7 linked regions of the Mus musculus genome follow. The protein of the gene in region 1 interacts with the protein of each later gene in a pairwise test. Links are inferred from orthologs where the notes say so. Each region holds a gene or a part of one and is shown in the gene's direction. Other genes may lie near its edges.

Region 1 (4,284 bases):
TGCTTCCTGACTTCCTTTGGTGATGAACAGGAATGTGAAAGTGTAAGCTGAATAAACCCTTTCCTCCCCAACTTGCTTTTCCTTGCTTCTCGGTCATGATGTTTGTGCAGGAATAGAAACCCTGATTAAGACAGAAGGCCATTGCTGTCCACACACAACTGCAAGCAGGCTTCCCCAAGTTCTGGTGTCTGTCCAGAGCTGACTCCACTGGAGGGCAGGATGATCACACAACTAGCTCTGGTCCCTTCTAGAAACTGCAGGGATCCTCTTTCCCTTGCAATCTCTTTCCATCCTTCTACTGAGAAAGCTTAACTTCACACTCACTTTGTACTAACCAAGAGAGGCTTCATGACTGCCACTCCCTGCCTCCCAGCCTCTGTTGAAGGGAGTATTCAAGCTGAAACAATAAATTGGTAACAGACACAAACACATGTTTAGTTTGTAGGATTTATGGGTTTTGGACAGCAGCTGAAGTTCACCAGAATACCACCAGCACAGCACTTTATGGGGTTGGGGTCTCAGAAGGCTGAGAGTCTGTGGGTGGCCTATAATCTAATCTTAAGAAGTCCAGCGTTTGCAGGGAGGTTCTCTGAGCACTTAAGGCACACACAGGAGACTGGGATGTCTATAGAGACAGTTCTCTATGTCTTTAATTCACTATGCATAAACACTGTTTTAGCAATTTGGTGTCTTCTCTTTTGAAAATAAATATGATTAACACAAAATGCTATCCAGACTCTTTAAATCTTTTTTTTTTTAAAAGAAAAATTCTTTTGTAGTCTAGGATCACCTTGCATTAGAAGCAATCCTCCTGCTTCAGTCTCCTGCATGCAAGGACTTTAGGTGTCTGTCACCACACCTGGTTAAAACTTTTTTTCTTTAAAATACACACACACACACGGAGAGGGAGAGAGATCCAGATGAGAAGAAATTAAATTACAATATGGTGAGATCTGGGTGCACTGCACTAACACCCCCCCCCCCCCCCCCCGTTCGCCTTTCTTTCTCAGTTCCTGCTCTAAAGGTTCAGCTTTCGTGCGTGCCCAAGCATCTCTTAGTTTAGAGTTTCTTCTGGTTTCACACAGCGGGCAACCTTAGCTGGAGTTTTAAGTGTATCCGGAAGCTCATATCTAAACACTGGCAACAACACAAGCAATCCCTCCATGGGAGGGCGACTAGGTCTACGCAGCGTAGCTCAAGAACAGGTTCGGTTTGGGGTCCGGGTGGTGGGGGGGGCGGGGCGAGAGGGAAGCCTCTAAGTGCATCCCGCTCTGCCACAGGCTCCACCCACCACGCAAAACCTGGCAAGAACTACACAGTTCAAGTCATCCTAAGATTCGCATTCCCAGCCCCCTCTCCACCAGCCTCGCCCCACCCCCACCCCCCTCAGATCCCACTCATTCTCTCAGGCCCCGCCCACCCGGAACCACGCAGGCTTCGTCATCCCGGGCTCCGCCCTCACGCTGCACGGGGCCCCGCCCACCCGGCTCTCGGCTCTCCCACCCGGAAACTGTCCTGGCCGCCTACTCTGTTGTCCTCTCCTCCTGGGAGACTGGCGACAATTGCGGCCAGCGGGTTGTTTAGTTGACCTGTGAGCCACAGCTTCGGGTCATGGAGGGGGACGGCCCCGCCGCCACGGCCCCGCAGTACCAGCCGGTCTGTCCTACGCGGGACGCATGTGTCTACAACAGCTGCTATTGGTGAGAGAGCGCGGGCGCGGACCCCGGGAATCTGCGCGGTTTCGCGCGCCGCCACCAATGCGCCCCTCTCCTGGATGCTCCCCTGAGTGCTGCTGCTGGCCTACACTGCCCGGGTTTAGCGCCGGGATGAGGAGGGTGGGGAACGCATTTCTGGTCTCCTTAGCTGAGCCTGAGCAGTGGGGTGAAGTCGGGGCGTCTTAGTGCATAGGGACAAGGGAGGGAGGGGAGTTAGGCTGGAGACCCAATGGTAACTGTTGAAGTCTGCATTGATTCAGGTTGAAGTATACGTCTTTATAATTTTAAAGACAATGGAGACACAGAATTTGTGGTAGTAGGAAATCCAGTTCAGGCAACTGGCTACCCTGATTACCTTACTGGCATTACCTTACTGGCCATATGATAATGGTTGCATTTGCACCATCCTTGCCATATGCTAGGCATTGTTTTGCGTGCATGGTGTAAATTAACTCAGTTGAACCTCACAGTAATCCCAAGAGGTAGGTACTGGTGTGATTGCAGCTTGGAAGAACTCTGAGGTACTGAAGGGTGTGCTGCTGTTTTACACAAGGCCCCGGGATTGTGAGGTTAGTGTCCTAGGCTGCTTGTGCAAACACCGTTCACCTTGCCTTTTTTGTCCCTAGGCCTCATCTTCCTTTTGTGTAGGGACTGCTATCCCAACTCAGGAGAAACCTCAGGATCATTTAAATAGACTCCTCTCAACTCTAGCTGGTCACTCAAACAAGGACTCTAAGAACTTAGCATTCAGCTGTGACTGACCAGTGACCACTTTAGCTCAAGTCCAAGTGCTTGCCCTGGTTCTCAATCTTCCAGGGCTGTGACCCTTTAATACAGATCTTCTTGTTGTGGTGACCCACAGCTGTAAAAACTTCGTTGCTATTTCACAACTAATTTTGCTACTGTTAAGAATCGTAGTGTAAATATCTGATATTCAACGCCATGACCCACAGATTGAGAACAGGGGGTGGTAGAGCGATGTCTTGGAGACAGGTTCTGTGGTAATTATTGACACTACAAAGGCTGAACTATAGAATGGTTGTGGTTTGTCCCAGACCACACAACTAAGTGGAATGAGATCTGGAGTCTACATGGTGGTTGGGAGTCCTTCTTTTTTAGCTGTTGCATTATAGATCTGCTCCGCCTGGTTTCCAAATCCTGCTAGTTTTTATCTGGAACATTTACTCTGTGTCTTCCATTTATTTAGTAAATATTTCGTAGGGATGTGAAATGTATGTTGGTTGATTCTATGCACAGAGGATAGAGCAGTAAACAAGGTAGATAAATTTCCTGGCAGTGCCAAGGACTGGCCTCAGCTGGGACCGGGTTTCTGAAAGAAGGGGTGTTTGGGAGCAGTGAAAACTACTTGAAGTCAAATTGTTGGTCCATGCTGGTGGTCTATGTTCCGCTGATGTGGCTTTCTAGACTGCTCTCTCTGTGTCTGCTTGAGACAGCTTTTTCTTGCTATTCTGAAAACTTTTTGGTTGAAACAGCTAGCTTTCTGCTCAAGACAGCTCTCTCTGCTATTAAAAGTTCTAAAAGCTCTTTGGATAGCTCATGGGTTTGCTGACCAAGTCAGAAATCCTGTTAGAAATACTCAAAAAGTAATTCTTGGGTTTTCTGATCAAAATCAGAAAGCCAGAAAAAAAATTCTAAAAGAGCTGTGTTCACTCTTCTGCCAGCTTTTTCTGTTTAGCTGCTAGGAGACATGCTAACAGAGCTGTGTCAGTAAATCTTATTAGAGAAAATTCTAAAAGAGCTAAGAAAAGATCTGAAAGAGCTGTGGTCGCCCTCCTTACATTGTCCCACCATGTTCCAAATCCTGTTAGAAAAAAATTCTTAGCCGGGCTTGGTGGCGCACGCCTTTGATCCCTGCACTTGGGAGGCAGAGGCAGGCGGATTTCTGAGTTCAAGGCCAGCCTGGTCTACAGAGTTCCAGGACAGCCAGGGCTACTGAGAGAAACCCTGGGAGGGTGTGGGGGAGGGCGGGAAGAAAGAAAGAAAAAAGAAAATTCTTGAAGAGCTGTTCTCAACCTCCAGGTTCCCCTTTGATTATCCTATGAATCCTGTGACCCCAGGCCCTTAATTCTTAGGAGACTACAAGCAGATTTTCTCCCCCTTTTTTTAGCATTGTAAAAGAATTCAGAGATCTGGCTGCTTTTGTAAATTTAGCTAGTTGGGACCTTGTCCGGAGATTACCATTCTGACCACTCCTGGACCTAAATTTGATCTGTTCCAGGCTTGAACTCAGAAATCTGTGTCATATAGAGTAGCTGCCTCTTGTCTATTTAGATCTGTGAAACTCCTTATACAATTCATATTGCATCCTTATGTTTTTGCATAGTTGAGAAATTATATATTTTCAAACTCATGTATTTAGAGCTCTTTCCCACAGCCTTAAGGGCTGTCCTGAGGGTCACAGTATTTACCATTTTGCTGAGACATTAGCCACACCTTCGTTTTCTGGACTCATGCTGTCTCAGATTCTCATGGAGTCATTGATGTTAACTGGGAGGAGGGCATTCCTCTGAGGAGTGTGAAAAAATGTCCATAATTATACAAGCAAGCA
Region 2 (2,191 bases), on another chromosome or scaffold:
GGTCAGTCAGGACAGAGACATGAAGGTGATGGCCTGGCCCAGAGGGTACTTAGGAAACCTGCCTCTGTTTCTCAATTTGTACCTCTTCATCTATCACAAGGTGCAGGGAGCCATGTAGCATCAGTGCTAAGCCCTTTGCCAGCAGCCTTTTTTGCTCTCATGGCAAAAGGATTAGCTCCCGTGCCCCACTGGGGGCCTTGGTACCTCAGGCTGCTGGAAAGTGATGTACTTTCTGATATGTATTGTCTTCATTGTGAAAGGCTAATATGCAGCTTTTCTTGAAGTTTTCAGGGAGTACTTTATGTAGCTATACCTTGCCATATGCATGACTATTGTAATGCCTTTGTTAGGCTGTGAAGGTGAATTCTAGAATCTTGACACAAGTGGACTTTGGAGTATTGGGTAAAACAAGCATACTAGTTTGTTGTCTGCATTCTCAGTAAAGACTCATGTCCGTGATGAGTCTCCTAAGTTCTTGAAGTAGCACATGTGGTTACCAAATTTTCATCTTGCTCCCTGTAATTTTTGACTAGATATATTCAACTTGAATTTTTGTTCAGAAAGAAAATACCTCAGGAGAGGGAGCCTCAGTAGTGAGGAGGATGGCCCATCCCATCTGTCATGGGCATCCCTGTGGGATCTGTTTTCCAGTCAGATTAAGGTAGCCTTTTCCCTTGAGGCCAGTGAGATGTATTATTTCTTCCTTTGGCACTGCAGCTTTGTGATCCCACTGTCTCTGTCCTGGAACTCACTCTGTAGACCAGGCTGGCCTTGAATTTAGAGACTCTCCTGTTGCCTTACAAGTACTGGGATTAAAGTCAGGCACCACAACACCTGGCTGAACCCACTCTTTTTAACCAACCTCAACTTTTGTTTTCAGGGATGCCTGCTGTCTGCAGCCCTGGCATGGTGCCGATGGCCATGCCCCCACCAGCTGTGGCTCCTCAGCCCCGCTGTAATGAAGAGGACCTCAAAGCTATCCAGGACATGTTTCCCAACATGGACAGGGAAGTAATCCGTTCTGTGCTTGAAGCCCAGAGAGGGAACAAAGATGCTGCCATCAATTCCTTGCTGCAAATGGGTGAAGAGTCCTAGACCCGCCTGTGGCCCTTGGCTTCACACCACTGACCCTTGGACTTGTCCACCCAGGGCTCCCCAGGGTCACCATCCCCACAAGATTCCAATGAAAGACCATCCACATACCCCTTCCTTGGACATCTGCGCCGCCCCTTCCTACATATTTCGGGGATGCATGTGGATTTTTGGTTCTAAGCAGGCAGTCCTCTTCATTGTTGCTGGGGGACAGAGTTAGGGGACAGTTCTCTCCTAGTCTCTAGCTGGGTGATGGTGGCATGGCCCTGTTATTGCACAGATCAGTGGTCCTGTTTGGGGACCTGCATCTCCTGTCCTCACCCTATTCTGGAAAGCATTCTTACAGAAAGCAACTGCCTCTGCCAAGATACTAGAAATTGTACAGCATCCTTCTGAGTTGATGGATGGATGGCATGGAGTTACTCAGTCCAGCTGGGATGGTTGTTGAGGGTGCACTGAGTTCATGTGCACTTACTTACAGGTTATTTTTAGAACTTTCAAGCTAAAAGCTCCTTCCCTCTTCTGATGTTGTATGTGAACATGGGCCCCTCAGCTAGTCCTGGCCAGTGAGATATGCTTCCCAGCCATATCCAGTGGGTCTCTAACCTCCTGTCTAGCTTATCTGCCACTGTCTGGCTAGGCTTCAGCCACAGAAATCCAACTTGAATACAGAAGGTATCCAGACCTGGTGCTTGGTTGGCCAGGCCCCACATTAGCCCTCACTGCTGGAGGCTGCTTTCCACATCCTCTTGTTTAGTACCAGCATCATGGGTCTTACTCCAGGGGCTGTTCTTGTTGATAGACCTTCATCACAGAGCCCAGAGTCAAGCGAAGGAGATGGGTGGGTGTGGCACTATGTGCTTACTACTAAAATTCAAGCATTGTGACACTACTGACCTGCAGTATACTCTGTGGACCCATACTGTAGCTTGGCTTGAGTGATAAAAATTCATGCTTAAATTAAACTTTCATAAAGGTAGAGGTGCCTGTACCTGACCAGTGGATATTGTATAGTGTATTTTAGGTTGCAAACCTTTGAGCCCGTGACCTGGCCATACATGTATTTAGGGAGAAATTGAGTGGTGCCTTGTGCTAAGAT
Region 3 (4,263 bases), on another chromosome or scaffold:
AGCATAGTGTCAGAGGCCTGTGTGTAGGGACATTGAGTCCCCAAGACTGAGCCTGGTCAGAACCATTTGAGATTGGCGCTGTGCTAACAAAAGTTAAAAAATATGGGCTGGAGAGATAGGTCAGCCATTAAAAGCCCTATCTGCAGCTAGGGTCGTAGCGCACGCTTTTAGCCCTAGCCCTTGGGAGGCAGAGGCAGTCGGATCTCTGAGTTCGAGGCCAGCCTGGTTTACAGAGTGAATTCTAGGACAGCCAGAGAAACCCTTTCTCACAAAAACCAAACCAAACCAAACAAACCACTTGGTCCTCTGTGGGGTTCAGTGTCCTCAGCACCACCGAGTGGCTCCCCACTGTCTACAACTGCAGGTTCAGGGTATCTGAAGCTCTCGATTCTGGGCTCCACGGGCGTCAGACACATACTGACATCTATGAAGTCAAAACAGCCATACCTACTATAAGAAGGTTAAGTCACACAACTGTGGGCCTCCTTCCATCTCCAGGGTTCACCCTGCATTGGGAAGGCGAAGGGAGGGCGGGCGGGCGGGCGGGCGGGATGCTCCCTGTCTTCTCTCTTCTTTCCACGTAACGAGTGTTCACAGAGTTGGAAGTGTGTGGGCAGGCAGGGCAGGCGGGGCAGGCTTCTCGTCGCTCACACGCATCTTCCAGAGCCGACTTTAGCCCGGCTGGGATCTTGTCCTTGGTGGGGTAAAAAGGGTGAGCGGGTAACACGAAACGGACCCTCAGGTTATACAGTGACGCTAGCCCGAGCGGGCGCCATGAGCACCTTCCCTGCCGACCCCCAACTTTCCTCTCTGAAGGTGCTCCCATGGAAAGCAGATGGAAGGCTTGCTATGTCTCCCACATTGTTCACTAATTCATTGAGCACTAATAATCCTCCTGTCTCACCTTACTACACCCAGCCTTTAAGAGATTGCAGAGTATAAAGCCCATGGATTGGAAGGCCCAGGCTACCTTAGGAGGCTCCTGGCTGGTATGGGGGAGGGGAAGAGAGACACGCCTATCTCCAGGTGTACTCTTGTACTTGGATGGGCATCTTTCTCAAAGACTGTTCATAATGTCCCGACACAGTGGCTCTCTTTAGCGGAGTGTTCCCTCCACTAAATGATAAGCAGTGTTGTGTAGACACTGTGCTGGGCTGGGCATGTAATAATTCTGTTTTGGGTGGATTTCAGGCTTCTTCCCCTTCCTCCTTGGGTAGGGGTGGAGTGATCTCTCATTGCTTTACTTTGTGAGTTCCTCCCGGCCACCCTGGCGAGTCCTATCTGACCTGTCTTACTAAGCCAGGTCCAGGATTGCTGTGCTGAGCCATCCTCAAGGCAGAGGCAGCAAGCCTGGCTCTGGGCCCAGGGCCCAGCAGGGGCGTGTCCCTGCTCTCACCTGCCATTGGCCAGGTGGGACTGCCTTGCCAGAGGATTATAAGTGCGGATCGCGTGGCCTGAGAGCCAGGCGCCGGTCAGGATGGTGGACAGCGTGTACCGTACCCGCTCCCTGGGGGTGGCGGCCGAAGGGCTCCCGGACCAGTATGCAGATGGGGAGGCCGCACGTGTGTGGCAGCTGTACATCGGGGACACCCGCAGCCGTACCGCAGAGTACAAGGCGTGGTTGCTTGGGCTGTTGCGCCAGCACGGGTGCCACAGGGTGCTGGACGTAGCCTGTGGCACAGGGTGAGTCCAAACGGGCCGGCCTGCTTAGGCCAGTCTGGGCAGCCTCTGCGGGCTGGAGCCTGGCAGGCAGTACTAGGGGGTCAAGAGCCCTTGCTCATCAGGGTAGTATGGGCATGGGAGAGCATCTGCCGAAACAGTGCGGGAAGGGGCCAGGGTGTGCGCAGAGAAGGATTCATGGGACAGAGCAAAATCCGAGCTTTGGGTCAAGGTGGATCCTTGGCTCCGGCGCTGTTCCTCCTGCGATTGGCCTCTGGCAGTGTGAACAGAACATTTGTAGCACGTTTGCACAGCCAAGTGCTGTGCCAGGAGTTTGGGTACGTGTGTTGCAAGCTGTAACAAAACCCCACGAGGTGAGCAGCGCTTTTCTCCAACCAGTAGTACTAAAGAAAAAGTCATTTCCAAGAGGTAAAAGGCCCCCATTTGGTGGAGAGGATACAGACCAGGATAGTGTCTGGCCCACACTCCCGACTCAGCCCAGAACTCACGGACACCTCTGACTGAGATATTTCCAGGAGCACCAGTATGCCAGGTTCTCAAGTGCACTTTTGTAGAATGCCTGACTATGATTTAAAAACAAAAACAACAACAAAAAGCCATTGAGCCGGTGAGATGGTCCGACTACTAAGAGCCCCTTAGGCTCTGGCAGAAGACAGGCTCTCAGTGCCTAGCATCTGCATCAGGTGGCTCATAATCGCCTGGAATTCCGTTCCAGGGGGAGGTTAGCGCTCCCTTCTGGCCGTGGAGGGCACTGTACTCACATGTACTACACATACAGACATAATTAAAAATAAAAAAAAATGTGTTGATGTCAGGAGTAGTGGCACATATATTTAATCCCAGCACTCAGGGAGTCCTAAATAGGTGGCTCTCTGTGAGTTCCAGGCCCTGCAGGGCTACATTAGGAGACCCTGTTTCTAATAAGAGGCAGCTGGGGAGATGGCACATGTTCTTACAGAGGACCCAAATTTGGTGCCCAGCACCCTCTCTGGGGTCTGCAGACACAAGGTATGCACATGATGCACATATTCAGGCACGACACATGAAATTAAATTTTGAAAAAAAATTTTTTTGAAACAGAGTCTCTCTTTGTAGCCCCAGCTGTCTTGGAACTCACTGTTTAAACCAGGCTAAAAAAAAAACAAAAAACAAAAAAAAAAAAACTCTCAAAAAATTTTTTTGCTACTTGATAAGGAAAATTCTTTTTTTTTTTTTTTTAAGATTTATTTATTATTATATGTAAGTACACTGTAGCTGTCTTCAGACACCAGAAGAGGGAGTCAGATCTTGTTACGGATGGTTGTGAGCCACCATGTGGTTGCTGGGATTTGAACTCTGGACCTTCAGAAGAGCAGTCGGGTGCTCTTACCCACTGAGCCATCTCACCAGCCCCCAGGAAAATTCTTAATGGGTCACTTGAGACCAGTAGAGATGGCCTGGGACAGGAAGCAGAGGAACGGACTCTGGAATGTTATGTCTGGGGAAATGTCACACACATTTGGCCTCCCAGGCTCCTCTGACTGGTCCTCTAGTCCCCCGTTTCTGACCTCATCCAGAGTGGACTCCATCATGCTGGTGGAAGAGGGCTTCAGCGTGATGAGCGTGGACGCCAGCGACAAGATGCTGAAATATGCGCTTAAGGAGCGCTGGAACCGGAGGAAAGAGCCATCCTTTGACAATTGGGGTAAGTCTGTCTGTCCAGGCCCCCCCAGACATGCACCTCCAGGGTCACTCTCTGCCCTGGCTCTCTCTTGCTGTGGAGCTGAATGGTTTTTCCTCAGGGCACGGTACAGTCCCTGTCAACTTCCTAAAAAGGAAGGCTTTGGCATCAGAGTAGGATTCCGGCTGGTAAGAGCAAGTTTGTTGTATTTATGGTGCTAGGCATTGAACTTGGGCATGCCAAGTAGACCCTTGATCACTGGGCTGCATTACCAGCGGTTTTTATGCTTTTCCCGTGTTGCCTGGCTTGGCTAAGCTAGATTTAAGTGATGCTCCTGTCTAACAGAGTCTAGAGGTGTACGTCAAGTCACTGGGCCCTACAGAGCTACTTTTAACTGTCTTATCACATCCTGTCTCTCCTCCCTACAAAAGCCCCTAAGTGGAGGGCTGGCTTTGCCAACTGTGGCTCTCTCCATCCCTAATGAGTCCCCATGTGTCTCTGGGAGGAGGTGGTTGCTTCTGTGCTGTGCTATAATTCTCGACTCCCCCCCCAACCCCTGCCCTGGCCTCCAGTCATTGAAGAAGCCAACTGGTTGACGCTGGACAAAGATGTGCTTTCAGGAGATGGCTTTGATGCTGTCATCTGCCTTGGGAACAGTTTTGCTCACTTGCCAGACTGCAAAGGTAAGCTGGTGGCCTTGGCTGTGGCTCTTGCCTTGAGCTCCCCCACGTCCGAAGATGGCTGGCCTGCTGCCCTGATAAGGCAGACCTGCATTTTGCCTGTCTTCTTTAGTGCTGGCACTTGGGAGGGAGACAGGGGCGGGAGGTGGTGCTGGAGGCCTAAGCAGATGGTGTCTGTGGCCCTGCCGGGAACCCAGGTGACCAGAGCGAGCACCGGCTGGCACTAAAGAACATTGCAAGCAT
Region 4 (4,298 bases), on another chromosome or scaffold:
TTGTTTGTTTTGCTTTGTTTTGCTTGAGATAAGCTTTTGCTAAGTTGTGCTGACTAGCCTGTAATTCACTATATAGATCAGGCTTGTCTTGAAATCACAGAGCTCTTTAACCTGCCTGTTTTTTTGAGAGACATATTCTCTCTATGTCATCCTGGTGGCCTCTAAGTCTTGATGATCCTGCTTCAGCCTTCCCAGTGCTGTGAATTCATCAGGCAAGGCCCTTCTCATTTGACCAACACCCCAGTCCCTCCATTTCATTAAAAACAAAAGACAAAAAACAAAACAAAAAAAGCAAGCAAGCAAACAAACACATCATCTGGGCTGGCAAGCTGGTCCAGTGGCTATGAAGCACACACTGTCCTTGCAGAGGACCCAAGTTCCGTTCCTAGCACTCACATCAGATCACTCGCAACTGTTTGTAACTCCACCGCCATTGGAACTGACCACTTCATACACTGACATACGCGTGTACATGTAAATAAATAATAAGAGGCTGGAGAGATGGCTCAATGATGAAGAGCACTGTCTACTCTTCCAGAGGTCCTGAGTTTAATCCCCAGCAGTCACGTAGTGGCTCACAATCATCTATAATGGGATCTGATGCCTTTTTCTGGCCTGCAGGTATACATGCAGATAGAGCACTCATACATAAAATAAATACATCTTAATAAGCAAACAAATAAATAATGCCGGATGTGGTTATGCCTTTAATCCCAGAACTCGGGAGGCAGACTAAGAGGGAGTCTCTGCGAGGTCATGGCCAGCCTGATCTACACAGTGAGTTCCAGAAAAGTCAGAGTTACATAATGAGACCCTACATACAATAATAACAACAATAATAAAACCCTCCTCCCGCGTTTCCTACCATCAGGTATTCACTATAATTCTTGGCTCTCAGGTAATAACGGGCTTTCTCCCTTCATGTAGGTCCTTTTGATTATCACTTCTGCAGAGATTTCTCAGCCTTAATTTTTTCCCCCTGCTCTGTTCTTTCTTATCAGCACTTGCACTGTGTGTTCACTATCAATTTTCTCTTTATTGTCGCAATTCTCAACCCTACTAGTAAGCTCCCAAGTAAACTTCAACCCTAGGCTCTAGAATGTTCCTACCCGGCACATAGGATTCAGTACATTTGTTGCTTGACAGAATGAAGGGAAGGTGGAATGACACGGCCACTGAAGCTCTAGTTGTGACTTCATGCAGTGTGAGCGCCACCTGTCGGGAAAAACTAGATTTTCTCGGGAACGGAGGAAGTGAGTCACAGGCAGCCGTAGGGGAGAAACAGAAGATGGCCGCCAGACAGGGGGGGTAAAAAAATCCAAAACACCACACCCAGTGTCGGAAGTTAAACACTGGGCGAGTGCTCCCTAGAATGACATCCGACTCCCCAGAAGAAGCGGGGACCGGCGGTGTACCGCTAAAAGGGCTCCCCTGAATCGGAACTGTCCGAAAAGGTTCCGTGCGAGCAGCTGCGGGGAACCACGTGAGGCCGGGGAGCGTTTCCGGTGCGGGCAGTCGCAGCCGGCGGTAAAGCCTTGTCATCTGAAGGGGTAAGAGGGGTCAAGTTGAGAGTCAAGGAGACAAGTTGAGGGTTTAGGTGAATGGGGAGGGAGGTGGGCGTTCACTAAAGGGTGCACTCTCCGCGGGGTGTTAGGGAGATGGCAGGCAGGGAGATGGCAGGCTGTGGCCAGGTACAGACCTGTCAGCTTGATACGCCACGTGGGCTCGCCTTTGTCCGTGGCCGCAGTTCCTGTCCGGCTCGCGGCAGGGCTATGCCTTATTCTCTTTCCAGTCCGCTGTTGGGCACAGAGTTGGTACTCGGGTGGTGCTTGCTGAATGAATGAATGACACTCTCTGTGTGTGTGAATGTGAGTGAAGAGAGAAAGAAAGAGAGATCGGTATGCAGAGGCTTTCATAGAGGATGTTTCAGCCATTTCTGAATAATCTTTCCTTCAGACATTCTCCAGCTAGTCTGTGGCTTCTGTCTTTCTCTTTATGGGGGGCGCGATTGCCACTTAAGGCCTGCTCTTTGCTCCTATTGACTGCGAGACCCCGTGGTTTGGTATCAAAGATAGGTGGACTGGCTTACAGACCGGGCAGGCGAGAGGGACAGGAAGTCAGGAACAAAAATGATCATGCAAAGGTTCATGCATGCCCTAGCTCACATGTGAACCCCAGAAGGTAATTTTGTGGAGCGGGTTCGTGGGACCCAACACATGCTTGTAGTACAACTCAAGGTCTGCTAGGCCGTCTAGCTGGCTCAGGCCTCATTCTTAGGGTATAAAATTAGAGGTGAACCCAAGTTTAGAAAGACAGAGCCAGGAGCCGGTGTTGCTGTCCTCTTAGGTATCGTCTTTCAAGGTGGAGTCTCCTTTCATCTTGTGAGGCAGTGTACCCTGGAAATGGAACATTCTGGAATGGATGTTCTCCAGGTGTCTTCTTCCTGGATGATGCCCCATGTTAGGTATTGGGCTGTGGTTTTTCTCATAATCCACAGTTCATTGGTTAGTTACAATACTCATTGCCCTTTCCCCATAATATGTAATTTAATAAATGTTAATTGCTAGTCTTACATAATGGACTTTCAAGTTTTTATCTTTTTATTCTCTGACAATTTTCTACATGTATGTGATATATTTAGTCATTTCACCCTCTCCCCTTACACTCTCTCATCTAGCCTGAATTCTTCCAACAAGTTCTCTCCTACTTTCATGTCTTATATTTTTTCTCTCTGTGTGTGTGTTTGTGTGTGTTTGAATGAGTTTAATTGGAGTTGCTTGCTTGATGGATAGAGGAGTTATTTGCTGTGGCATGGACAGTTTACCCATGGCTACATCAGTGAAGAGTGCCCCCCCCCCCTTAATTGCCAATAATTGCCAATAGCTCCCAAGGCAGGGATAAGGCCTTGGGCCTTCTGAGTCCCTCCCCAATCTATGATAGAACATAGTCATTGTTTGTTTGCTTTCCCATTTTCTTCTTTTCTTTTTTCCTTTTCTTTCTTTCTTGCTTTTCTTTCTTTCTTCCTTCTTTTCTTTTTTTATGCTTTGCTTTGCTTTTTGAGTCAGGCTCTTATGTTGCCCAGGCTGGTCTGATTTTTTTTTTTTTTCCCTTTTGCCTTAGCCTTCCTAGGGATATAATTACTGGCATGTATCCTCAGGCTTGGCTTTTCTCATTGCATCCTGAGAAGTGTCCCAAATTGCACAGGGCTGGGAAATCTCATTCTTTGTAAAAACCAAAGATGGTTGTCGTGACATATTCTCTAAAACTTTTTTTTTTTTTTTCGTTTTTGGTTTTTCGAGACAGGGTTTCTCTGGAACTCATTTTGTAGACCAGGCTGGCCTCGAACTCAGAAATCTGCCTGCCTCTGCCTCCCGAGTGCTGGGATTAAAGGTGTGCACCACCACGCTCGGCTCTAAAACTCTTGCTGGCTTTAATGTCTGAGGTCAGACCGTCTTGTTCCAGATGTTGCTTTCCCTAGGAAAACCACACCAGTGCAACATCCCCTAATCTGTTTTACTGAAAAAGGTGCTGTCTTTTTGGTGTGTGTATGTCTTAGTTTACATCTCTTTCCTTAGCTCCATCCCAGTAGACGCTCAATAGGAGGTTACTAAATCAATGGAATAAACATTTCAGTTCCTGTTTTTGAGCCCTCCCCCACTTCAGGATATTAATTTGTGGGTGAATGAGCTGGGCAGGGATTGGGATTTTACTGGAGAGATTTGGGGTAGACATAGTAGATGAAAGCCAGCTTTATGGGGGTAATCCGCTTGAAAAGGATCATGATGAGCGAATCTCTTCAGCCCTGTTTCATTTCCCTGCTTGCTTATCCACAGGACCATGGCCAACAGTGAGCGCACCTTCATTGCCATCAAGCCTGATGGGGTCCAGCGGGGGCTGGTGGGCGAGATCATCAAGCGGTTCGAGCAGAAGGGGTTCCGCCTTGTTGGTCTGAAGTTTCTGCAGGTGAGTGGACCTCTGCCTGTGTTGAGTCTTTGGAGCATAGCGGAGCATTGCACAGTAACTTCTGTGCTTGTCTTGTCTCCTGTCTAGACGTCTCCATGGTAGGCTATCTTGGAGCCTGAAACCCTCTCAGTGACTAAGCTTGCTGGCTGAATCTTAGAACAAACCAAGTCATTTAGAGCTTTCAAAAATAGCAAGCTCTCTTTCCCCGCCCCAGCCTGAAGTCCCTCGTATTACTGCAGGGCTGTAATTTCTGACTCAGCTCTGGGTGTTTTAGAGCTCTTGGTCTTTAGCCTCCTAAGAAGATAATTTTAGAGACCATCCTTCTAACTCCCACA
Region 5 (3,508 bases), on another chromosome or scaffold:
CTGGCATGTCCCCTGTGTGAGTTTAAATGCTCAGACTCTAGCCGTACACTACCGTGGTCTTCCCTAACTTGATGTTTTACTGTAGTTCTGTGCCTGTGCCATGAGTTAGGCAAAGCACGCAAGATCTCAGGACAGAAATCCCATCTGCTTCCTGGGAGAACCTGTAAAATTAGCCAGGACCCTGAAGTCTCTCAAGAGCCCCTACTCCGTGGCCCAAGCACATTCCAGCCTGTTCAGGGTTCTGGCCTACAACACCTCTCCCGGAGGCAAGGCGAGTGCTCAGACACTGTGAGGAGACAGGCAAGGTTGTGCAATAGTCCTGCTTCAAGGGTTAGACTGGCTGGGTCCTAGGAAGAAACTTCTTTAGAAGGAACCACGGAGTCCCATCTAAACTTGAAGAATGTGGTGGGGCACATAAGCAGGAACACACCCTCAGTGCCCATTCTTATCATGGGCCTTGAAAATAGGGCCCAACCAATCAGGGATGGAAGATTGGGAACAAAGTGATCTCCATCTCCAAGGAGACTTCTCTCAGGGGTCAGAGGCAGAGTCTTGAAGGGACTTGAGAACCTCTGGGAGCCAAGTGAGGGATCATACTGGGCTGGAATCACACACTGCGCCATAAAACAAAATGGAATGTGCCATTCCCAGCTCCTTTCCCTCAGCCCTGTCTTCCTCCCCAGGTTGATAGCGTCCCCCCTGGGGGACCAAACTGGACTGAGCACCCAGGTGGCCTGCTTCCCAGCCTCTGACAGAGGTAATCTGAGTCAGGCAGGGGAGTGGGACAGTCAAAGAGTTAGGCCCCCACCCTCTGGGAACCCTGCCGATACATGACGACAGGCAGCTTGGAAGGGACGGGTGACCCGATGTGGAGAACCAGAGAGTAAAGTCTCAGACAAGTGTCAACAGGCCACCAACTTGAAAGGGAAAATTGTGCTGTAAGGGGGAAGGTGTCCAACAAACATATTGGGTGACTAATTACAAAGGCTGGGCTGGAGCGTCAGAGGCCGCTCGTTAAACACTTCATTAAGTGGCACCCTGAGATGCCACCTGCGCATCTGGGGTGTTCATAGGGCATCTTGAGGGAGAACAAGGACCAAGGGATGGAGCTATCTTCAGGCCGGCTCAGCTAATGGCCCCCAAAGAGAGCCAAGAGGAAGAGGGGACACGGAGGGGGAGGGGTTTAAGGGAGCTGGCAGCTTGTGACCTCAAACTGGTTTGGTTCACCCCTGAGACTTGATAGTTCTACCTCTACAGTCCTACAGAGCCAATTCGGGGGTTGGGGGTAGTTGCATCAGATCATGGATGCGCAAGTTTGGGGGAAACTGTACAGCCCTACCTATACATGAGTTCTCACCTGAACTGTCCCAGCTCCCTGGGCTCTGCCTGGGCTAAAGCAGCTCGGTGGCTGAAGCCTGGAAGATCACCCTGAAAGACAATCTGATTTGGTAATCCAAGACGCTCCTGCAATGCAGCCAGCCCTGAACTGCAGGGGGCAGTCTGGAGCCGAAAGGTGCCTTTGCAGGTGGGACCTGCGGCCAGGTTTCTCCTGCTGACTGTCCTGGTGACTCACAGCCCCCTCCCGTCCCAGCCCTTTTACCTTAAAGGTAGAGCCGGAAAGGGTGTGGCGAAGACTAGGAGGAGGCAGGGCCCAGGCCCGCTCAGACCACGCCCAACTCTTCTCAGGGCCATGCCACCCCAGCCAAAAGGCAGAGCCAGAGCAAGGGAGCCGCAGAACCCAGCGTTACTCTCGAGACAGCCAGTTCGCCCGTCTGTCTGTCCATCCTCGCAGTCATGGAGAGAGCCAGTCTGATCCAGAAGGCCAAGTTGGCTGAACAGGCCGAACGGTATGAAGACATGGCAGCTTTCATGAAGAGCGCCGTGGAAAAGGGCGAGGAGCTCTCCTGCGAGGAGCGAAACCTGCTTTCCGTAGCTTACAAGAACGTGGTGGGCGGCCAGAGAGCGGCCTGGAGGGTCCTGTCCAGCATCGAGCAGAAGAGCAACGAGGAGGGGTCAGAAGAGAAGGGCCCCGAGGTGAAAGAGTACCGGGAGAAGGTAGAGACCGAGCTCAGAGGTGTGTGCGACACCGTACTCGGCCTGCTGGACTCGCACCTCATCAAAGGGGCTGGAGATGCAGAGAGCCGCGTCTTCTACCTGAAGATGAAGGGTGACTACTACCGCTACCTAGCCGAGGTGGCCACTGGCGATGACAAGAAGCGCATCATCGATTCTGCCCGGTCAGCCTACCAGGAGGCCATGGACATCAGCAAGAAGGAGATGCCGCCTACCAACCCCATCCGCCTGGGCCTGGCCCTGAACTTTTCAGTCTTCCACTACGAGATAGCCAACAGCCCCGAGGAGGCCATCTCGCTGGCCAAGACCACCTTCGACGAGGCCATGGCCGACCTGCACACCCTCAGTGAGGACTCCTACAAGGACAGCACCCTCATCATGCAGCTCCTGAGAGACAACCTGACGCTGTGGACAGCCGACAGTGCTGGGGAAGAGGGTGGTGAGGCTCCGGAGGAGCCCCAGAGCTGAAGCAGCCGACAACCACCCCGGCTCGCCTTGCCCTCCAGTCCCCAGCCTGCAGAGAGGACTAAAACGGAGTGGGACTCTGCCCTTCCCAAACCCTGAATGTTCAGCCACACCTTGGAAGGCTCCTTTGAAGGGGGCGCAGCCAAGCTGAAGCCACCAGGGCAGGGAATCTCACTCTTCGTGTAGCTGTCTGGTGGGTGTTCCCAACCCATCCCACCCCTGCTCTCTGCACCCCCTCCCCACTTCCTCCCCCTGAGCCTCCCTCGGGCACCTGTTGCTTCTGGATCCGAATAATCCAGGAGGCTCCCCACCCTGTGGCTGAGAACTGGACTGTGGCAAGGGCTGTGTGTGTGAGAGAGAGGGAAACTCTGTGTGTGTGTGTGTGAGAGAGAGAGAGAGAGTGAATGAGAGGGAACACGTTTGCTGGGTGTGACCATGCTACCACTCAATAAAGTTGCCCTGTGACACTCGGTCTTCTTCAGTTATTGGCCATGGGTTGAGAGTAGAATTAGAAATGAGTTAAGAGAACCGGACTCTGAAACTCTGAGCTAGGTCTGTCCCTTGGGGCTGTCTGGGTGACCTGGAAGTGAGACGAGCCTTTGGGTCGGTGTCGGTGACCTGGAAATTTTGGGTAGGGTGACTTCAGGTGAGAGGCCACCAGGAAGTCCCCGCAGCGCTTCGGCTCAGGCCAGGTGAGCACAGAGGCAGGTCAGGAGAGCAGAGGAGAGTGGGGGCTGTAGGCGGGAAAGCCGCGAAGTCAGGGAAGTTTGGGCACAGTGGCCTTAAGAGACACGCTTCACAAGTGGCACTGGGGACCTCACTTTAAGAAGCGGGAAACGGTCACGTCAAGTGCTCAGATCTGAGCCGAGGGGTGCAATCTGAGGCAGGGGCATAGTGCCTCCAATAAAACAGATCAAATAAGGGAAAGCTCCCCAAGGCCCAGGGACAAAAAGAAATCGGCTGAAGAGGA
Region 6 (3,500 bases), on another chromosome or scaffold:
CCGTCTCCCTATGTGCAGGAAATAAAGAGGGATTTTTTTTTTTTTTTTTTTTTTTTGGTTTTTCGAGACAGGGTTTCTCTGTGTAGCCCCAGCTGTCCTGGAACTCACTTTGTAGACCAGGCTGGCCTCCAACTCAGAAATCTACCTGCCTCTGCCTCCCGAGGCTGGGATCAAAGGCATGCGCCACCACGCCCGGCTTGGAATTGATTTTTTTTTGTTTGTTTTTGTTTTGGTTTTGGTTTTGGTTTTTTGAGACGGTTTCTCTGGAACTCACTTTGTAGACCAGGCTGGCCTCGAACTCAGAAAACCGCCTGCCTCTGCCTCCCAAGTGCTGGGATTAAAGGCATGCGCCACCATGCCCGGCTTGGGATTGATTTTTTTAAGGAATGTTTTTTGTTGTTGTTGTTACTCTTTGGGCTGATGGAGGAATTAAGTATGACAAAACCATTTAGTTAACAGTGGAAGTACATGAAAGTGTGGTAACAGGAGTGTGTGTGTGAGCACACGTGGGCATGAGTGTGCTAACCCATGTAAAGGTGTGGTGAGCCCAGAGCTTGACATCATGTCTTCCTTAACTGCTTCTCCACCTCTCCACTTTACAGTGTGATTCAAGGTCTCTCACTGAACCCCGAGTTTGCTCGAGAGTCATGGGATCTGCATGTCTCTGCCCTAGGGCTCTGAGGTTTTGCTATTACGATCTTGTTTTTGATATACAATGTCACTGCATAGCTTAGAGCAGCTCTCGATCACTGCTTGCCTCTTGCCCCTCCCCCCAAGCTCATGCAGCATAAACAGAGGAGCCGTTTACAATGATCTTCATGTTCTTTTTCTATCCAGATGTAGTCTGAGGGCGGATGAGAGGAATGTGGTGATGTTGGAGGAGGTTGTAGCTATAAATCTCAGAGTTCATTCTCCTGAAATTTCATTGACTATTTCTATTTTAGCCATACATGGTGGCAAATGCCTGGGATGAGAGGGTTGGCTATAAGTTCAAAGACACCTTAGGCTACAACCTGAAAACCAGGCCAGCCACATAGCATATAGAGTGGTATGTAGGAGAGGAAAGAAGAGAAGAGAGAGAATGTTTTATCATAAAGGCACATGGACACTAGTGTTAATGAAACTTTTGTATTCTGTTCTTTAAGGCATCTATGTTGGTTTTAATATAGAATCAGGTTAACTCTAGAAATTTTGATATTCCATTGTTCACGCCTAGGGATACAGTCATCTGCCCATTTTATTTGAAGATTTACAATACATGTCATATTTTCCAGATACAAATCAAATAAAATAGATTATAATTTAAATTTTTTAATAAAATTATTTTATGCTTATGAGTGTTTTGCCTGCATGTATGTGTCAAATGTGTGAGCCTGGTGTCTGTGGAGGTCAGAAAATGGCTTGACTTCCTGGAAATGGTGGTATGATTGTTTACTGCAATGGGTGATGGGAATTGCACACAGGTCCTCTGAAAGAGCAACTAGGACCCTTTTTGTTTGGTTTCTCTGTGTAGCCCTGGCAATCCTGGAACTCACTCTGTAGACCAGGCTGGCCTGGAACTCAAGAGATCTACTGCCTCTGCCTCCCGAGGGATGGGATTAAAGCTGTGCACCACCACTGCGCAGTGAGCAGCCAGTACTCTTAACCACTGAGCCATCTCTCTTGTCTCAGATTGTTGTTTTTAAAAGATGTGTATTTAGTTAGTACCAGCATCCGTTTAAGCTCTTAGACTTGGGTTCTGTGTCTACCTTGTGGAATTGAAAGTACCGTCCTTTTCCTACCTCCTGAATTTTCAGCTTTCAGAGAAGGGGAAGCCGTATGTTGACATTCAAGGTTTAACTGCTGCTACCATGGAGATCCTGCTGGACTTCGTGTACACAGAAACAGTACATGTGACAGTGGAGAATGTTCAAGAACTGCTCCCTGCAGCCTGTCTTCTTCAGCTGAAAGGTACAGACAGTAAAAGGTGTCCTTGTTCATGACACTTTAGCCCTGGAAGTGTTTTCATTTGAAGCAAAATTAATCAAGAGACTGAGAGATCAGTCTAGAAGCATGACATTTGAATCTTTGAGCATGGAAGATAAGATAGAGTCAAGAGCAATGCAAAAGAATCTCACCACATAAGAGTATTTGGGTCTTGTAAAAGAAAACATTTAAACTTTTTCCGTTTTTGCAATAATCCCAACACTTAAGAAGCTGAGACAGGAGGATTGCGTTAAGTTTCAAGCCAATTTAGTACATAAAATGAGACTACATGTTAAAATGAAGCAAAGGGGCTGAAGAGCAGGCTCAGTAGTTGAGACCATGGACTGTTCTCCAGAAGCATCTGTATTTGACTCCCAGCACCCACTGGTGGCTCACAACTTTGTAACTCCACTGCAAGGGACCTAATGCCCTCTTCTGGGAACATGGCACACAGATGCACGTTTCCAAAGCACCCATAGCATAAACTAATTAAACTGAACCAAACAAAGCAGAATAGAAAATATAGGTATTTCCTTAATACATACATGTATACATACATAGTAAAAATTGCCAAGAAACTGATAATATTCGTTGTCTACATAGATTCTGTTTATTTACCTTGTCATTTGATGTTTGTGCATGTAGAGGCTAAGAGGACTTTTTAAAATAAACCTTTTTGTTTGAATCATGTAAAATACCTTTTTAAGAAAATTTATTTCTGTTTACTTTTATTATTTATTATTTTTATGTGTATATTATTCTCAAATGTATGACCTCTAATGGCCACAGAGATCAGAAGAGGGTGTTGGATTCCCCCCAAACTGGAGTTACAGGCAGTTGTGGGCTGCATTCTGGGAGTTGGGAACTGAACCTAACTCTTATTCAAGAGTAATAGTGCTTTTAACTGTTGAGCCATCTCTCCAGTCCCCTAGGGGTTGTTTATTTGTTTGTTTTGTTTTGTTTTGTTTTTGAGACAGGGTTTCTCTGTGTAGCCCTGACTGACCTGGAACTCACTTTGTAGATCAGGCTGTCCTCGAACTCAGAAATCTGCCTACCTCTGCCTCCCAAGTGCTGGGATTAAAGGCTTGGGCCACCATGCCTGGCTCCCCTAGTTTGTTTCTGTATTTGGTTTTTGAAACATGGTCTCACTATGTAACTGTGGCTATCTGGGAACTGCTGGTCAGGTTGTCTTCTAACTCAAGGATATCCATCTGCTTCTGCCTCTGAAATGTTAGAATTAGAGGTATACATCCTCATGGCTGCCTTAAAATATCTTTTGAAAATAAAATTTATACTAGGCAGTGGTGGTGCATGCTTTAATTCCAGCACTTAGGAGACAGAGTCAGGTAGATCTCTGTGAATTGGAGACCTGCCTGCTCTTCAGAACTGGTTCTAGGACAACCAGGACTTCACAAAAAAACCCTGTCTCCAAAACAAAACAACCAAGACAAATAAAAAATAATAAAATTAAAATTAACTTATACTTGAGAAGGAGAAATGGCATGGACTTAAAAAAAAGTAAATAAAATAAATTT
Region 7 (4,128 bases), on another chromosome or scaffold:
TCTATGTATGGCTAGGAGCCCAGGGTCCTGGGTACAGGGTTGCTAAACTATTGGGCAGAGGTGTCTGCTTGTGGGGTGGGGTGGGGGTGGGAGTGGGGAGATGCTGCCCCGTTCTCTGCTCTCTCCTGCCTTCTTCCTCCCAGTCCTCAGCACCACACAAGCCCTCAGAGAAGCTGCTGATTCACTCCTGCTTGGTGACCATCCGGCGACACTTGGACATGTCTGGCTGTGCTGGCTGCAATCCGGCCCACTCTCTATGGACTTGGCCAAGTCACTTAAGGACAATAAGCCGGTTTGTTTGAAGTGTTCCCATGTGCCACTTCTATATCCTCTCCCCACAGACTCCCTGGACCATATTATCATCTCAGTCTGGTAACCACAGGAAGGGACTGCCAATTGTGCACCCATTTTGTAGATAAGGAAACTGAGGCTCTGAGAGGTAGCGCAGCTCTTCCTGGGAGAGCTAATAAACAGATACCTGGAACCCAAGCCACAGCCCACTCTAATCCAAAGCTCCCACACGTCTGTTGCTACCCCCACTGTAGACAGCAAACGTGCCGACGTCTGACAAGGAACCCACTAACATTTGTGTGTAAGACAAAGAGAACAGCCAGGGTGTAAATCCATTTCCGGTACCACCAACCCAACAAGGTTCATGAAGAGGAAGGAAGGAAGGAAGCGAGGGAGGAAGGGAGGGAAGAAGAAGGAGGGCCCTGTTTCCCTCCAGCTGGGATGGTTTTAATGGCTAGGTTAGGACAGGAAGGAAATGAAGCCAAGCTACTGAAAACAGAGACGTTTCCTCGGCTTCGCATACCTTCTAACTTGGCACGCTGACATGGTTGCCCAAGTTCTGAACTTTCAGCCTGAACCCTTCTCTCGGTGTAAAAAACAAGCCATTAAATATTCTGAGGAATCAGGATCCTTTGAGCTTTGACCTCAGGTGTCACACAGACCCACCCAGAATCCTCCTCCCTGGGACTGTGTCTACAGCCATCCACTGAGGTGGCACCCGCCCTGTGGCCCACTCTTGATCTATGTTGACAGTGAGTGAAGTTGTTAAAGGAAACTGTCTCACTGGTGGGCACCACATACCGGTCCACCGTGGGACCCCCGCAGCTCAGTCGTAAACTCCATATCCTCCGGGCTCCCGCCCTGGGAGACTCACTGGGCTGCCAAGTCCTGGCCAGCATCCCGCCAGCCTGGGAGCCAGCCTCCAGGTCTCCCTCTAGCGCAGGGACACACCCCGGGGGAGGAGCCACCTCTTCTTGGCCAGTGCGGGCAGACGGCCAGCACCGGTTTCCTCTCCTCTGCAGCGACCAGCTCACCCGCCTCGGACCGACATGGCCCAGGAACGCCCCTCCTGTGCTGTGGAGCCCGAGCACGTCCAGCGGCTGCTGCTGTCCTCTCGTGAGGCCAAGAAGTCAGCCTACTGCCCCTACAGCCGCTTCCCTGTGGGGGCTGCCCTGCTCACCGGGGACGGGAGGATCTTCTCTGGTAAGGGCTGTCGCCGGAGTCCACTCTGGGGCAGCATGAATGGGGCCCAGGTACAGGTGAAGAGGAGAAACAGCGTGGTCCCCTCCTCACTGCTCCTCCCCTGCTCTCACCGAGGCTGTGGGCTCACTCAACTGCTTATCTGCACAGTGCCTCTCTGTTCTTAGAAGTCTGGAGTGGGGAAGGGAATTTGCACGTGAGATTAGAGGGAGAAGCCAAAATGAAAACCGTCCACGACCTGCATGGCAGGAGACTCGGATTACTTACTGAGTGTCCTGTATGCCCAGTATTCACCTCCCATCCGTTAGTTCTTTCTCTGACCTCCTGCCCAATATTAGACCCATTTTAAGATGAAGAAGTTGAGGCCAGAGGCATGTCCTAAGTTACAGGAGGCACTGGTGATGGGACCCAGGGCTGGACCTCCCAAAGCCCCACCTTCCTGCACCCTGGGGTGCTGGGATTGGCTGGGGAGGGATGGCATCAGGCAGACAGAGCGTTGTTTGTTTGTTTGTTTGTTTGTTTTTGGAGGAGAGGATCCAGACACCGTCTGGGAATCCAGCAGTCTTTACTGAGTTAACAGGATCTGCCCTGAGCTCATGTTTATAGACCCTCAAGCAGGCCAGAATGGGCTGCAGCTATGGTGTGGTACTCGCTCACACAAGGGTCTGGGTTTAGGGGAACAAAAGGAGGGGAAAGAGAATAAGGGAAGGAGAGAGTGGTAGAGAAGGAGAAGGGAGGGAAGGAGGAAGAGAGGGAGGAAGAAGGGGAGGAGGGAGGGAAGGAAGGAGGAGGGAGGAGAGGAGGGAGGAAGGGAAGGAAAAGAAAGGAGGGTGGAGGGGGAAGGGAAGAAGGAAGGGAAGGGAGGAGGGAAGGAAGGAGAAAGGAGGAGGAAAGAAGGGAGCTTGGTAAACTTAAGGACATGTTCAGTTGGGACATGGTGTGGACAGGTGACAACTACAGTGCCCATTCGTATGCCTTGTTGACTGAGCCTCTGTGAGCTTCATGAATCACCCAGCTGTGTGACAAAACCTTCCCTGGGGAGATGCAACACAAGTCTACTCACCCCAGAGAGGGAGCCCACAACAGGTCGAAGTACAGATACCTCCAAAGTCCAACTTGGTGAACCAACTGGACTTACCTACAGGAATATGGGTGAGGGGTCACTTACAGGAGCAGAAAGGACTCAAAAAACCCAGCTGTATCACCAAGGCCCACCCCAGCATGGGTACCAGCTTCCAACGCTGGGAAACTGGAGTTGACTGCACAGCCTGCAGGCAGCTCACAGGTTAGATGGAGAGCATCCTTTCCAGGTGGCTTGGTTGCTGTAGCCCTCTTTCAGGCAGCTCAGCGTCTTTCCTCTGAGAGGGACCCTGAGCTTTTACTGTCTACTCTGGAAGGGGGGCAGGGGTCCAGTGATTCTGGTCAGTTTCAGGGACTTCCTGAAGCTATTTTGAGTTCTCTCGAGATGGGGTTTGTGGAGTATGTGAGCAAGGGGCTTGGGCCAGGACTGTGGAAATAGGAAGAAGAGGAAAGAGATGGGATGACCTGTCAGTCAGTAAAGTGCTGATCTCCAGAGCCGGTAAACATAGGCACAACACACGCTTGTCATCCCAGTGCTGGGTGGATGGAGACAGATGGATCCTTGAGGCTCACTGGCCACAGAGCCTAGCCTGATTGGCAAGCTCCAAGCCAGTGAGAGACTGTCTCAAAGAACAAGGTGGATGGATGGTATCTGAGGAATGATACCTGAAGCTGACCCAGTCTGGCTTCTGTACACATGTGGCAGAGAGAGAGCGAGAGAGAGAGACAGACAGAGAGACAGAGAGACAAACACACACACAGAGATACACACAGACAGGCACACAGAGAGACAAACATACACATGCACAGACAGACAGACAGATACAGACAGACACACACAGATACACAAGCACACAGAGAGAGAGAGAGACAAACACACACACACATGAGGAGGAGGAAGAGGAGGGGGAGGTGGTGTGAAGCTGTGAGAGACAACCAATAGGATGAAAGGAGGGACCAAGAGCACAGTCAGAAGGTTCAGTAGAATGAGGAGCCCTCTGTAACCTATGTGGGTCTCTCGTAATCTCACAGCCAGTGCTGGAGGCAGGCAGGTGAGCATCGTTGTCGTGTACATTAGTCAGGAAGCTTTCTCTCAGCAGTGATAAAACGGATAAAACCGCCAGGCTAGCTCCCATTTCAGGGCAGGCTAACCCAACTCAGATTCCATGACAAGTTTGTTTGTTTGTTTGTTGAAATAGGGTTTCTCCTTGTAGCCCTGGCTGTCCCAGAACAATAGACCAGCCTGGCTTCAAACTCAGATCTCTGCCTGCCTCTGCCTCCTGGTGCTGCTATTAAAAGTGTGCACTGCCATGCACCCAAGTACCTATCATTAGAATGTTTTCTTTTTTCTGTTTTCTGTTTTTCTTTCTTTTTTTTTTTTCCCCCCTTTGGTTTTTCGAGACAAGGTTTCTCTGTGTAGCCCTGGCTGTCCTGGAACTCACTTTGTAGACCAGGCTGGCCTTGATCTCAGAAATCTGCTTGCCTCTGCCTCCCAAGTGCTGGGATTAGAGGCGTGGGCTATCATGCTTGGCTGTTTTCTGTTTTTCAAGACAGGGG

The links.
Region 2: the proteins of Wdyhv1 (region 1) and Tollip interact in binary tests that used the Homo sapiens proteins (3 or more experiments, as listed by UniProt). The two-hybrid records come from large-scale screens. The link is inferred for Mus musculus from reciprocal best matches to the Homo sapiens genes NTAQ1 and TOLLIP.
Region 3: the proteins of Wdyhv1 (region 1) and Gnmt interact in binary tests that used the Homo sapiens proteins (3 or more experiments, as listed by UniProt). The two-hybrid records come from large-scale screens. The link is inferred for Mus musculus from reciprocal best matches to the Homo sapiens genes NTAQ1 and GNMT.
Region 4: the proteins of Wdyhv1 (region 1) and Nme1 interact in binary tests that used the Homo sapiens proteins (3 or more experiments, as listed by UniProt). The two-hybrid records come from large-scale screens. The link is inferred for Mus musculus from reciprocal best matches to the Homo sapiens genes NTAQ1 and NME1.
Region 5: the proteins of Wdyhv1 (region 1) and Sfn interact in binary tests that used the Homo sapiens proteins (3 or more experiments, as listed by UniProt). The two-hybrid records come from large-scale screens. The link is inferred for Mus musculus from reciprocal best matches to the Homo sapiens genes NTAQ1 and SFN.
Region 6: the proteins of Wdyhv1 (region 1) and Klhl12 interact in binary tests that used the Homo sapiens proteins (3 or more experiments, as listed by UniProt). The two-hybrid records come from large-scale screens. The link is inferred for Mus musculus from reciprocal best matches to the Homo sapiens genes NTAQ1 and KLHL12.
Region 7: the proteins of Wdyhv1 (region 1) and Cda interact in binary tests that used the Homo sapiens proteins (3 or more experiments, as listed by UniProt). The two-hybrid records come from large-scale screens. The link is inferred for Mus musculus from reciprocal best matches to the Homo sapiens genes NTAQ1 and CDA.

The regions. Positions count from the first base shown.
Region 1 is NC_000081.6:58,139,882-58,144,165, forward strand, and holds the start of Wdyhv1 (protein N-terminal glutamine amidohydrolase), read left to right. Parts: upstream 1-1,484; 5' UTR 1,485-1,611; coding exon 1,612-1,700; intron 1,701-3,326; exon of another isoform or gene 3,327-3,388; intron 3,389-4,284. UniProt on the Homo sapiens protein: Mediates the side-chain deamidation of N-terminal glutamine residues to glutamate, an important step in N-end rule pathway of protein degradation.
Region 2 is NC_000073.6:141,883,271-141,885,461, reverse strand, and holds part of Tollip (toll-interacting protein), read left to right. Parts: intron 1-880; coding exon 881-1,095; 3' UTR 1,096-2,191. UniProt on the Homo sapiens protein: Component of the signaling pathway of IL-1 and Toll-like receptors. Inhibits cell activation by microbial products. Recruits IRAK1 to the IL-1 receptor complex. Inhibits IRAK1 phosphorylation and kinase activity.
Region 3 is NC_000083.6:46,726,366-46,730,628, reverse strand, and holds the start of Gnmt (glycine N-methyltransferase), read left to right. Parts: upstream 1-1,463; 5' UTR 1,464-1,477; coding exon 1,478-1,683; intron 1,684-3,236; coding exon 3,237-3,364; intron 3,365-3,912; coding exon 3,913-4,023; intron 4,024-4,217; coding exon 4,218-4,263. UniProt on the Homo sapiens protein: Catalyzes the methylation of glycine by using S-adenosylmethionine (AdoMet) to form N-methylglycine (sarcosine) with the concomitant production of S-adenosylhomocysteine (AdoHcy), a reaction regulated by the binding of 5-methyltetrahydrofolate.
Region 4 is NC_000077.6:93,965,473-93,969,770, reverse strand, and holds the start of Nme1 (nucleoside diphosphate kinase A), read left to right. Parts: upstream 1-1,498; 5' UTR 1,499-1,550; intron 1,551-1,745; exon of another isoform or gene 1,746-1,810; intron 1,811-3,833; 5' UTR 3,834-3,837; coding exon 3,838-3,963; intron 3,964-4,298. UniProt on the Homo sapiens protein: Major role in the synthesis of nucleoside triphosphates other than ATP. The ATP gamma phosphate is transferred to the NDP beta phosphate via a ping-pong mechanism, using a phosphorylated active-site intermediate.
Region 5 is NC_000070.6:133,600,056-133,603,563, reverse strand, and holds Sfn (14-3-3 protein sigma), read left to right. Parts: upstream 1-1,395; 5' UTR 1,396-1,794; coding exon 1,795-2,541; 3' UTR 2,542-3,008; downstream 3,009-3,508. UniProt on the Homo sapiens protein: Adapter protein implicated in the regulation of a large spectrum of both general and specialized signaling pathways. Binds to a large number of partners, usually by recognition of a phosphoserine or phosphothreonine motif.
Region 6 is NC_000067.6:134,462,031-134,465,530, forward strand, and holds part of Klhl12 (kelch-like protein 12), read left to right. Parts: intron 1-1,796; coding exon 1,797-1,950; intron 1,951-3,500. UniProt on the Homo sapiens protein: Substrate-specific adapter of a BCR (BTB-CUL3-RBX1) E3 ubiquitin ligase complex that acts as a negative regulator of Wnt signaling pathway and ER-Golgi transport.
Region 7 is NC_000070.6:138,365,156-138,369,283, reverse strand, and holds the start of Cda (cytidine deaminase), read left to right. Parts: upstream 1-1,328; 5' UTR 1,329-1,340; coding exon 1,341-1,494; intron 1,495-4,128. UniProt on the Homo sapiens protein: This enzyme scavenges exogenous and endogenous cytidine and 2'-deoxycytidine for UMP synthesis.